Stegostoma tigrinum: one gene and its partners. The protein of the gene in region 2 interacts with the protein of the main gene of each other region in a biochemical or structural test. Links are inferred from orthologs where the notes say so. Each region holds a gene or a part of one and is shown on either strand. Other genes may lie near its edges.

Evidence for each region.
Region 1: the proteins of gopc (region 2) and somatostatin receptor type 5-like form a complex in vitro, tested with the Homo sapiens proteins (2 studies listed by BioGRID and IntAct, with this or other methods). The link is inferred for Stegostoma tigrinum from reciprocal best matches to the Homo sapiens genes GOPC and SSTR5.
Region 3: the proteins of gopc (region 2) and corticotropin-releasing factor receptor 1-like form a complex in vitro, tested with the Homo sapiens proteins (2 studies listed by BioGRID and IntAct, with this or other methods). The link is inferred for Stegostoma tigrinum from reciprocal best matches to the Homo sapiens genes GOPC and CRHR1.

Annotation. Positions count from the first base shown.
Region 1 is NC_081376.1:15,254,673-15,258,425, forward strand, and holds the start of somatostatin receptor type 5-like, read right to left. Parts: upstream 2,292-3,753; 5' UTR 2,208-2,291; intron 1,324-2,207; 5' UTR 339-1,323; coding exon 309-338; intron 1-308.
Region 2 is NC_081357.1:61,386,322-61,390,074, forward strand, and holds the start of gopc (Golgi-associated PDZ and coiled-coil motif-containing protein), read right to left. Parts: upstream 2,663-3,753; 5' UTR 2,661-2,662; coding exon 2,169-2,660; intron 1-2,168.
Region 3 is NC_081384.1:41,196,345-41,200,097, forward strand, and holds the start of corticotropin-releasing factor receptor 1-like, read left to right. Parts: upstream 1-1,597; 5' UTR 1,598-2,612; intron 2,613-3,753.

The DNA of each region.
Region 1 (3,753 bases), on a different chromosome or scaffold from region 2:
TCCACGCAGCGTTACAAATGCGAGCTCCTCCATTATTTAGACACTCCCCACTTTTTTTAAGTTATTAAACAAAACGCCAGTAGTCCAGTTTTATTTAACAACATTTTTTTCTCTCTCTCTCATGGTCCTACCAGAATTTACCAACTTGGCAGCACGACCTGAAATGGACAGACATCCACTGGCCACTCTGTTCGACGTTAAAACACTGGAAGAACTCTCCAATGTCTACACGTATAATGTGGTTAGTACAGAAATGTTGGCTCGTTCGTACCCAATTTCCGTCATTCCGCGCCTTTCTATTCCGTTACCTGGTGGGTTATTTCCAGCATATGTGCCATCCAATCGTGAGGGTTGGAGATCTGGAATTTAAAAAGGTCCGACAGGAGAGCGCAGGGCAGCGAGGGCTTTTCAATAAGCTCTTGACCTTTAAAGTGGTTCAAGGAAGATGCTCCAGGACAGTTCAGGAGCGTGTGAAGCAGATCGAAGGAGCTGGTTATAGACACCTGATCGGAGACAAGCAGCCCTGCTGGCTCTAAGCTTGTTCAATTCTAAGCGACTTTGCAGAACATCTGAGTTCCTGTCTGAGGCATTCAGTGATTAGGAGAGCGAGAGAGGCATTGGTTGCAGACTGGATTCTCTCTCTGTGTGTGTGTGTGTTGGGAGGGGAGTCTCAGATCTGCATGTACTCCCCTCCTCAAACAAACTGTCGAATCAGTAGATCGTAGTGCGTATGAGTCACCAAAGAACACAAGCATTACATGTGGAACACACAGCCTCTTAGCTCCAACAGATGTAACCCGATCCATTCATCAGCCATTATACAGATTCAAATGTGGCACTTAACCCATGAGTCTTCACCGACTGAGTGAATATTAAAAGTGAGCAAGAGTGCATGTTAATTGACTGAGATCTTCCCAAACCGTCGAATTTTCCATCTGAAACAGAACTACAGACGCATGTTCCGCTGGTCACAAACTCAGGAGCAGTGCTCCGTGGTCATCTCGCCTCCTTTCAGGGATGGGTTCTCTTCCTTGCTCGCCCCCTCTCCGGTCTTCCTCTTCACACTTCCAGTCACTTCTCGGCTCGTTCCCCAATTCTGGGCAAAACCATGTCTTCTGTTCCAAAGCACACAGAGGCCGAAAGGTAACGTTGATATTTGGAGGGGGTCAGTGACAGCCGGTACTGAGTGCCTGTATAGTTAACTAGACGGGTAAATCAGCTTCTCTCCTCCCTAGGACGATTCACTTCTATACTAATGCAGTCCATAGACTGACGATTGTTTAACAGGGGGTGTCTCAGTTTGAAAGTAACATGTCCCGGAACCTGTAAGGCCGATGAAATAGTCATGAAAATATAGTCATTGTTGTAGACTTCTATATTAACCTAATGTTTCTCTTTTACACGCCCGATTTTAAATGGGACGCAGCTTCACTGTACGCGAGTGTTATAAAACGCTGGAATGCCACTAAATAGCAACGAGGTTTGATGTTCCTGTGTCCGTTGCGCTTTGTATTTTAAAAGCCTATTAACATTTAGAAACTGCGCCATCAGTTAATTTTTAAAAGAATAAAGGCGCAGTACGATTGGAAAACTTTCCTAAGTCACATTCCACGTTACAGAGAATGAGGTTTTATCCTCCTGTAAAATAAAATGCAAAAAATAAAGGAAATGATGAACGAGGTTCACCAACAACATAAAAACCCGGGGTATAGCCAACTCGCGTATTCCTGAAGACGGGCAGGATGATTTGATATCATTAGTATGGCTCCGCTGTGTGGAACGAGAAACACCAATTTGTCCTGGGATCGTTTGCAAAGTGGAACAGGTCAGTGTCTCAGCACGATCAATAGCTCCCTCTGGCGACACAGCAATGAGTACAGGCCACACAGAGGCGTAGACTGGAACAGGTCTGCCACAAACGGGAGGGCTAGCGATAGGGTTTGCTGTGTGGGCGCGAGCAAGACCATTATCGATTGCACATCCCTAGTTGCCCTTGTGAATGCGTTGGGGGTGGGGGGGGGGGTGGTCTTGAACTAAAGAAAACCCAAAGAACTGCGGATGCTGCAAGTCAGTTCTTCTTGAACTGTTGCGAAGGCGCTTTCACAATGTTAATAGCTGGGGAGTTCCACATGGAGCGATGGATTAAAATCTGAGCAAACCATGTTATGTAACCTGGAAAGGAACTATGGAATTGTAGTGTCCCCAACCTTTTGCTCCGTCTGTCCTTGCAGGTGCTGAAAAAAGGGGTGTGGAATGTACTGTTGAGGAATCCTGGATAAAGTTATACAGCATATCCTTGCCGCCACCATATGCTGGGATTGGAGGGCGTGGAGGCTGTGATTGCAATGTTAATTAGTAAACTGTTTCGTCCCAGTTAAAGTCAGTACTACCCAGACCAAAAAGTGTTATTTGTATTTATAAAGTGATTCATCACATTTCATAGGTGAGCTAATGTGAAGTGTGGTGACATTCCTACCTTCTCAAGAATAGGACAACAAAGATAGCGACAATACATCTGGTATCTGGGAGACAATGAGCTAATTACTGGGAAGTCTAAAGTCGCTGCCTTTCTTTCATCCAACAAATGCCATTCCTTCACCATCTCCAACCCTAACAACTGACTTGAGCTGAGCCAGATTTTCATCTTGCGTTTGGTCCTGAGACCACCTATCAATCACATATCCATCCTGTAATGAAACCTCTTTCCACCTCTGCAGTACCTAATTCTGCTCCAGCCTCAGTGCCTCTGTTGCTGAAACAATCACCTTCTGACTTTGTTAACTCCGAACATGATTATGTCATTGCTCTTCTGGCCAGCCTGTCAGCTATCACCTGCCTCAAACTGTTTTAATCTCATCCAAAACTTTGCTGGCCCTTTCTGAACTTGTTCAATGCTCCAGTCATCCATCACTTGAGGACTTGCTGTCATGTGCAGATGGAGGATTGACAGTGCCTTGCTTTCAAACACCTTATCTTCCTTTTCAAGTTCCTCCACGGCTTCACACGTACTCATCCTGAATCTCTATCTGCCCCACAATCTTCCAAGATGTCCATGCTGACAGAATTCTATCCTTTTGGTTGTCCTGGACTTTAACCAAAGCCTCTGCATTCACTTGCACTGAGCCTAAACCCTGAAAATCCCTCTGTAACTGTCTCAACACCTCACTTTCCCTTTTGTCCTTTAAGATCCTTTAAATCTAATTTCCTAAAGCCTACCCCCTTGAGTATAAGGTATCAGAATGACCAAGGCTTTGGTTATCAGTTATCAAAAATATATTGGTTAATAATACAATTGCTAAGCACCATGGGACATTTTGCTACATTGAAGGCACCATCTAAATGCATATGGTTGTTAGGTAGGCAAACAGGACGAGCATTTCTAAACAAAAACAGGATGAATGGCCAATTTGAAGTGAGGATTGATTACACACTTTAAGGTTGCTGTGTTATGAACTGTATGATTTGGGCCAGTCTTGTTGATTATTAGCACTTGACTTCCTAATGTTGTACGGAGTAATTATGCTGCAACAATTAATCTGTTAGTTTATTATATGTCAATATTATACAGGATGCAGCACACAATATATTGGTGTCTGCTCCTCACCTTGCTGAGACATTATTGTAAAGCTTTCTCACCTGTGCCAGTCTCTAAAATGCTCCTTTATAATCTGCCACATATGTTTGTAAAAAGGTTTTTCTTTTAAAAAAGTGTTTAATTCCCCTTTGCTTCCCTCATCTGCAATGCTGCACCTC
Region 2 (3,753 bases):
ACCTTTCATCAGAGAGGGGGATGGGGAGAGGGAACTGGAATAAATATAATTTGAAGTCAGGATGGTGTTTCCATGCACTGCTACTTTCTAGGTTGTAGACGCTGAGGTTTTGTAAAGTACTGAAGAAGTTGCTTTAGCTTATTTTGTAGCTAGTACATACTGTTATCACTGCCCACGACTGGTGGAGGGTGTGAATATTTAACATTGTGGATAGAGTGCTGATTAAGCAGTTTTCACTGAGCTGGATGTTGCTGAAGATCTTGAGTGTTATTGGCGCTGCACTCATCCAGGAAAGTGGGCTGCATTTCAATATACTCCCACTTTGTGCACGGCAAATGTCGGGACAGAATGTGGGAGTCAGGTGATGAGGAAATTACCACAGAATTTCAGGCCTCTGACCTACACCCAGGAGCCACTGTATTTATATGGCTGGACAAGTTAAATCTTTGGAATTTGTTAATTAAAAATAACTAAATATTACCATTTGGGACATGGGTGTTGTTGCCTGAATTGCCTATTCCTAGTTGCTCTTGAGAAGATGGGTGTGAGCTGCCTTCTCGAACTGCTGCAGCCCATGTGCTATTAGCAGATCCACAATGCCGTTGAGAGGCTGTTGCTTGACTAATTCAAGAGACAACTTTGCCAATTTTCCCACTAATCCCCAGAAGTTAGCAAAAAGGACTTTGTAGGGTTGGCAGAGCTGAATTTGCCCATTGTCATTTCCAGTGTCTGGGTTCATGCCCGGTGATCTTTCCAGTTTCATTCCTTTATTGAGAGCTTCTAGCAGTTGGTACAACAGAACGGCTTGCGGGGCCATCAGATGGCAGTTAACAGTCAATCACATGTATGCCAGACCAGGTGAACTATGGCAATATTCTTAACTAAAAGATGTTTGTTAACATGTTAGGTTTTTGCACACCAACAATGGTCTTATGATCATTAGATGATTATTTTGCATTAAAATTTCACTAGCTGCCACGGTGGGATTTGAATCTTGTTACCCAGAACATTATCTGGATTCCTAGTTCAGTAACTATACCACTTGGCCACCACATTATCGTCAATCAATGGTCTGCTCCTTAACCAGTGTGCATATTACTCTTTCTTTTGATTTTAGAACCAATCTGTTCAGAAATGTTATGAAACTCCCCTACAGCAGACAGGACATGACCCAGGCCTCCTGGCTCACAGATAGGGAAACTACCACAATAACACTTACGCTACTTTTTCGAAAACTTGTAATAAGTTGGTTAAACGTTATTTTCCTTTTTAGACAACTATAAGAAATTTTGCTATTCAGTTCTATACATTGATATTAATATAGTCAGTATCAGAAAGGGATTGATCTAAACAGGTATTTCTATTGAGATATTAATGTTACTGTTTTGACATCAGTATAAGATTGATACCATGGAGGTGGATCTCTGTTGAGATATGATCAGTAATATACTGATCCCCAGTATATTAAAGGTTTATCATATACGGGCTAATCCAATTCTTTATTGAGATACTAATAATAGTTACTGCATTGATCCTCAGCAAGAGCAGAATTCAACGTGATCTCTAGTGAGCTATTTAATTAGCATATTGACCCTCAGAGAGTGGAGTGATCCAATTTGGAGAGAAGGTCTTTTATTTTAAATTCACTGACAGGATGTAGTCATCTTTGACTAAGCCAGCATTTACAGCCAAAAAGACTTTAGTGAACCAGATGAATTTTTCTGATGACTGCCAATGGTTTCATGGTCATCATTAGACCCTTAATTCAGGAGTTTATTTTTTCTCTGTGGTGCAATATTCAGTAAAAGGATAATCTAATGAGGGATTTCTATTAAGATATTAACAGTGACTTATGGGCCCGCAGCAAAGGTCTGATGCAATGAGAGATCTCTATAGAAACTGACACGAAGGAGATGGATGGACAATGCAAGGGGGTCTCAATTGCCATAGTAACATCACTATATTGATCCTCAGAGGCTGACCTAATGGACAAGATTATATTGAGATACAGTATTGATACTAGTGTACTGACTCACAGTATGGGGCTGATCCAATGTGGTGGACGGGGGCTATTGAGATATTCACACTAATCTGCAGATCCTCAGTAAGGGAGACGGGGTGGGCGGGGTTCTCTATTCCCACAGCAAACATTCAACCCCTGGGCTCACCTCCAGTTTATGGTTGATCTGGAAGACAGTCTGCGCCTTGTGACAAAGCTGCGCGAAGCAGGAGCTGAGCGCCGTCATCTTCTGGCGGCCCTCGTAGGTGATCTCGGACTGGTCGGGGTCGATCTCCCCCAGGAGCAGGTCCACATCCACGAAGGCCTTGTCAAACTCCTTCTCCAGCACCTCCAGCCAGCGGAACATGGAAGGGCCGGCTGCCGCTGCCGGCGGAGCCCCGGCCGAGGAGGCCATAGTTGACGCTGCAGGACGGGAGAGAAGGGAGCAGATGGCGGTTGGGGACTCCGACCCGCAGCCCTGTACCGTGTGCCCGGAGTTTCGTCTCTTTCTTCCTCTTCTTCCTCCTCCTCCTCCTCCGTGGACCGCGGCGCCGCCTCCGGTTCCGGTTGTCAAGGAGCCCACTCTCGATTGCTCGCGCCTGCCACAACAGTAGAAGGCCGAGCGAGTGGAGCGAGGAACGGTCGTTCGAACCGTCACCATGGAGAAAGGGGGCAGAGCCAGAACGCGCGGCAGAAACCCCGCCCACGGCCCGCACGCGCACCCACTCACACACACCCCCGCCGCCCCGCAACAGCAACAACTTGAATTTATATGGCGCCTTGAACACAACTCGCCTCTTCCTGTTGTACAGTGTAAAATATGACGAAGCGCCCCGTCCAGGAGCTTTTGAACCAAAACTTAGAAGTGCAACAGAACACTGCGGATGCACAAGATCTGAAACCAAAGCAGAAATTGCTGAAGAAACTCACCAGGGCTGGCAGCATCTGTGGAGAGAAAGCGACATCTGATCTATTACTGAGTTTCTTCTTCAATTTCTTATTTTGAACGAAAACATTGGCCAGAAGTCGCTTCCAAGGCGCATTTCGAAGAAGAGAAATGAGGTGGGAAGGCAGAGAATTTTATGGAATATTTTCAGAAATTGGGACTAAATTGCTAGTGCAGCCACTGGTGGTGGAGTGTTTAATGTCTGGGAATCTGAATTGGAAGAAGTCAGGTGATCAGAGGACAAGTCAGAGTACAGAAAGGAGATAGAGGGCTTGGTGATTTGGTGCATTGAAAACAACCTCTCACTCAACTTCAGCAAAACTAAAGAACTGATCATTGATTTCAGAAAGAAGGATGAAGAACACGCCCCCATCTCCATCAGCAGAGCTGAGGTTGAGAGGATGAGGCTGTCAAGTTTCTAGGAGTGACAATAACCGACAACCTGTCCTAGATATCCCACATAAATGCAACAGTCAGGGAGGCACAGTAAAGCCTCTCCTTCCTCAGCCAGTCAGGAAATTTGACATGTTCACAAGGTCTCTTATAAGCTCCTCCTTCAGGCAGAAGATACAGTAGCTTGTACACACACCAGCAAGTTCAAGAACAGCTTCTTCCCTGCCATTATTAGACTGATGAATGGACTCTCTAACTTCAAATAATGCTGCTTTGCTAATGTTGATCTTGACCCTAGCACACACCCTGTGCAATGCAACTTGTATGAATCTGTCTAGTTTTGTTTTTCTCCCTACAATCTGTATGTCCTTGCTTACTATGATCTGCCTGTACTGCTCATAAACAATGCTTTTCA
Region 3 (3,753 bases), on a different chromosome or scaffold from region 2:
AGTGGGTTGGCCTTAGTAAATGTGTGGTTAAGGGATACAGTAGGAAGTCAGTGTATTAGGTCCTCCTTAGAGAGTTGGTGTGGATTCAGAATTGTACAGTCGGTAAACAGATCTTTCAATCCAACTTGTCCATGCCAATTAGATATCGTAAATATGTCTAGTCCAACTTGCCAGCATTTGTCCAATATCTGTCTAAACCCTTCAGACTCATGTACCCACCCAGGTGCCTTTTAAATGTTGTAATTGTACCCGTCTCTACCACCTCCTCTGGCAGCTCACTCCATACACACACCACCCTCTGTGATGTCCATGTCCTGTGAATGATTTAAAAATGGTAAAAAACAGATAAAATTAAGGTATTCGGGAAGGCATTGGCTGATTTAAATTGAAACAATGCGCACAATTATGGAGAAAAGTGGGAGAGCGACAATACATTAAAATAGCCAGAAAACCAACAGGGACAAGTTGGGCCGAATGGCATCTTTCTGCACCGTGACATTTATTTGAAGGACTTCAATTGTATGGAAACAAGGATTGTTTGATTTTAGACCGAGAGAGTTAACGGTAACCTAAAAGAGAAACTCAGGAATGTGATAACTTAGAGCGAGCTACTGCGGTTTGCTCTGATCAATGGCCCGCGCTCAAAAGGGATCCAATTTGATAAAGAAATCAGATGAAATGACAAAGTTTGCTTTTCACACGGAATAAACTCCGTGACTGGATGTGACATGAGTTACCAAAGTGAAAGTTGAAAAAGCTCCCCGGTGTCCCCGGACAACAGCCTCTTACCGCAGCCGGCTGTTAGCACCACAGTCCCAGTCCCACCCCCCGCCCCGGAATCGGGAGGGGTCGCTCGCTCTGAATTTCGCACAAGACCGAGCAAATTCTGATTGATCCAGTGCACCGGAGCGATTGGGCGAATGAGGGAGGAGGAGAGGGACAGAGAGGCATACAGAGTGACGGTCAGACACAGAGCCGGAGGGAAAGAGGGAGAGAGACGGAGAGGGGTGGTCAGGGCAGGAAGCTACAGAGTATGGTCAGTGATAGACGAAGGCGGGGGTGGGCAGAGGCGGAGAGAGATACAAAGAGGGTAAGAGAAGGGGGGCCGCAACGGAGAAAGATTGAGTGAGAATCAGAGCAGAGAGGGACAGAGTCGGGGAGAAGCGCAGTGAGGGTCAGTCAGAGAGGGACAGAGACTGTGTGAGAGTCAGAAACAGAGAGAGGGGTCAAAGACAGAGAGGGAGTAGTCAGAGATAGAGAGGAACAAAGACAGAGAGAGGGACAGAGACCGAGAGAAGGGGGGACAGAAACCGAGAGAAGGGGAGACAGAGACCGAGAGAAGGGGGGACAGAAACCGAGAGAAGGGGGGAACAGAGACCGAGAGAAGGGGGGACAGAAACCGAGAGAAGGGGGGACAGAAACCGAGAGAAGGGAAGACAGAGACCGAGAGAGGGGGGGACAGAGACCGAGAGAGGGGGGGACAGAGACCGAGAGAAGGGGGACAGAAACCGAGAGAGGGGGGACAGAAACCGAGAGGGGGCGGACAGAAACCGAGAGGCGGGGGGACAGAGACCGAGAGAAGGGGGACAGAGACCGAGAGAGGGTCAGAGATTTAGAGAGGTGGAGAGAGATTGAGAGAGGGAGTCAGAGACCGAGAGAGAGGGAGTCAGAGACCGAGGGAGAGGGGGACAGAGAGGCGGACAGAGACAGAGAGAGGGAGTCAGAGGCCGAGAGTGGGTACAGAGACTCAGAGAGAGGGACAGACATTGAGAGACGAGGAGAGAGACAGAGAGAGAGGAACAGAGATTGAGAGAGAGGGACAGAGACTGAGAGAGGGGGAGTCAGAGACTGAGAGAGAGGGACAGAGAGAGGGAGTCAGAGATTGAGAGAGAGGGACAGAGACAGAGAGCGTGAGTCAGAGATTGAGAGAGAGAGGGACAGAGATTGAGAGAGAGGGACAGAGACAGGGACAGGGACAGAGATTGAAAGGGAGGGACAGAGACAGAGAGAGGAAGTCAGAGACTGAGAGCGAGGGACAGAGACAGAGAGACGAAGTCAAAGGTTGAGAGAGAGGGGGACAGGGACAGAGAGGGGGGACAGAGATTGAGAAGGACAGAGAGAGAGAGGGGGGAGACAGAGCTTGAGAGAGAGGGACAGAGACAGAGAGAGGGAGTCAGAGAGAGAGGGGGGACAGAGACTGAGAGAGCGGGAGTCACAGACTGAGAGAGGGGGAGTCAGAGACAGAGAGTCAGAGATTGAGAGAGACGCACAGACAGTGTGTGCCAGAAATGGAGAGAGACTGAGTCAGAGGCTTTGAGAGAGTGACAGAGACAAAGGAAGAGGGACAGAGACGGAGAGACAGATCGCATTCAGATCAGAGAGAATCTGGACCATTTTCGGGGACACTTTAGTGACAGAGCCGCGTGGCGACGCCGAGAACAGTGGGAGTTCTCCTGCAATCCGGGAAGGCGATCTTTCTGCTTGTTTGAAGCGGTTCCTGCTGCCCTGGGAATGAAGGAGGAGGACGAAGAGAGCAGGACAAACTGATTATCTCTGACCAGGTCAGAGACTCCGTGCAGTAGCTGCTTTTGTGCAACTCCTGAAAGCTGAGGGTAAGACCGACTTTTCATTTATTGTTACAATTTGAAAAGCAATAGCTAGGAATCTGATACAGCGTTGAGGGAGACGTATGGAAGCTGGAATTTTCTGCAGCTGGGAGCGAGGTGCGGTGATGTTCTGGATATGGGAGCGGTGAACTTGCTGGGCAGGAGACAAAAACAGAAATTGTTTGAAAATCTCAGCAGGTCTGGCAGCATCTGTGGAGAGGAATCAGAGTTAATGTTTCGGGGCCACTGACCCTTCCTCAGAACGGGATCTGAGAATTAGTCCCTGTCCTCTCCCTGAGGCACTGTACTGTTTATTTCTTGTTCTAGTTCAAAACAGAAACGATTCTTTACGTTCTGATTACAAAACAAAAGCTGAAGTGCGTCCACAAACTGATCGAATCTAGAGAGATTGGAGATCGAGCCAACTGAGCGAATGTTGCTCGAGCGAAACAGAATAAACCAGTGATTTATGGAATATCACAGAGAATAATTATATATATCTCAACAGCAGCTCAGGATGGTCAGATATAGATACCTTTCAGTAATCATTATGTTTCATTTAATTTGCAGCAGTTGGTTTAACCCAGCAGAAGATGAGAGCGCGTTGGATGTAAATTTACCCTTGTATTTGTATTTGACAGAGTGTTTCACCCCGATTTGTTCGGAGATAGAGTTCCCCTGTTTGGAAGCTGTCAGTGCAGACACCATTTCTCCATTTGAACTGGAGCTTCTGCGTGCCGGCATTTCTGTTTGAGCTACCCTTCCAACTCTTGCTCAGCTGGAATTGAAGTAGCTTCTTCTTGTTTTTTTCTAGTCCTCGGCAATACGATCTTCCCTGCTATATTTATTCTCCAGCTCATCACTGTGTTGCATTTTACATAGAGTCCCCATAGAGTTGCCCAGTTGCTGACACATGGAAAATGCATCCAGTCTCTTTTCCAAGTCACTGTATCACAGCAATGTCTTTTACTTTCTCTGCTCCTTTCCTCATGTTTATAGCTTTCTTTCTGTGTTTTACACCCTCTACCTTTACAGCTCTCTTACATTTATGGTTATTTCCTTTCCTTTTTATAGATTTTTTAAAAAAAATTAGCATTTTTTGTTGTGTATTTTGTCTGAAGTCTGTCTCTTGTCTAGCCATCCAGTT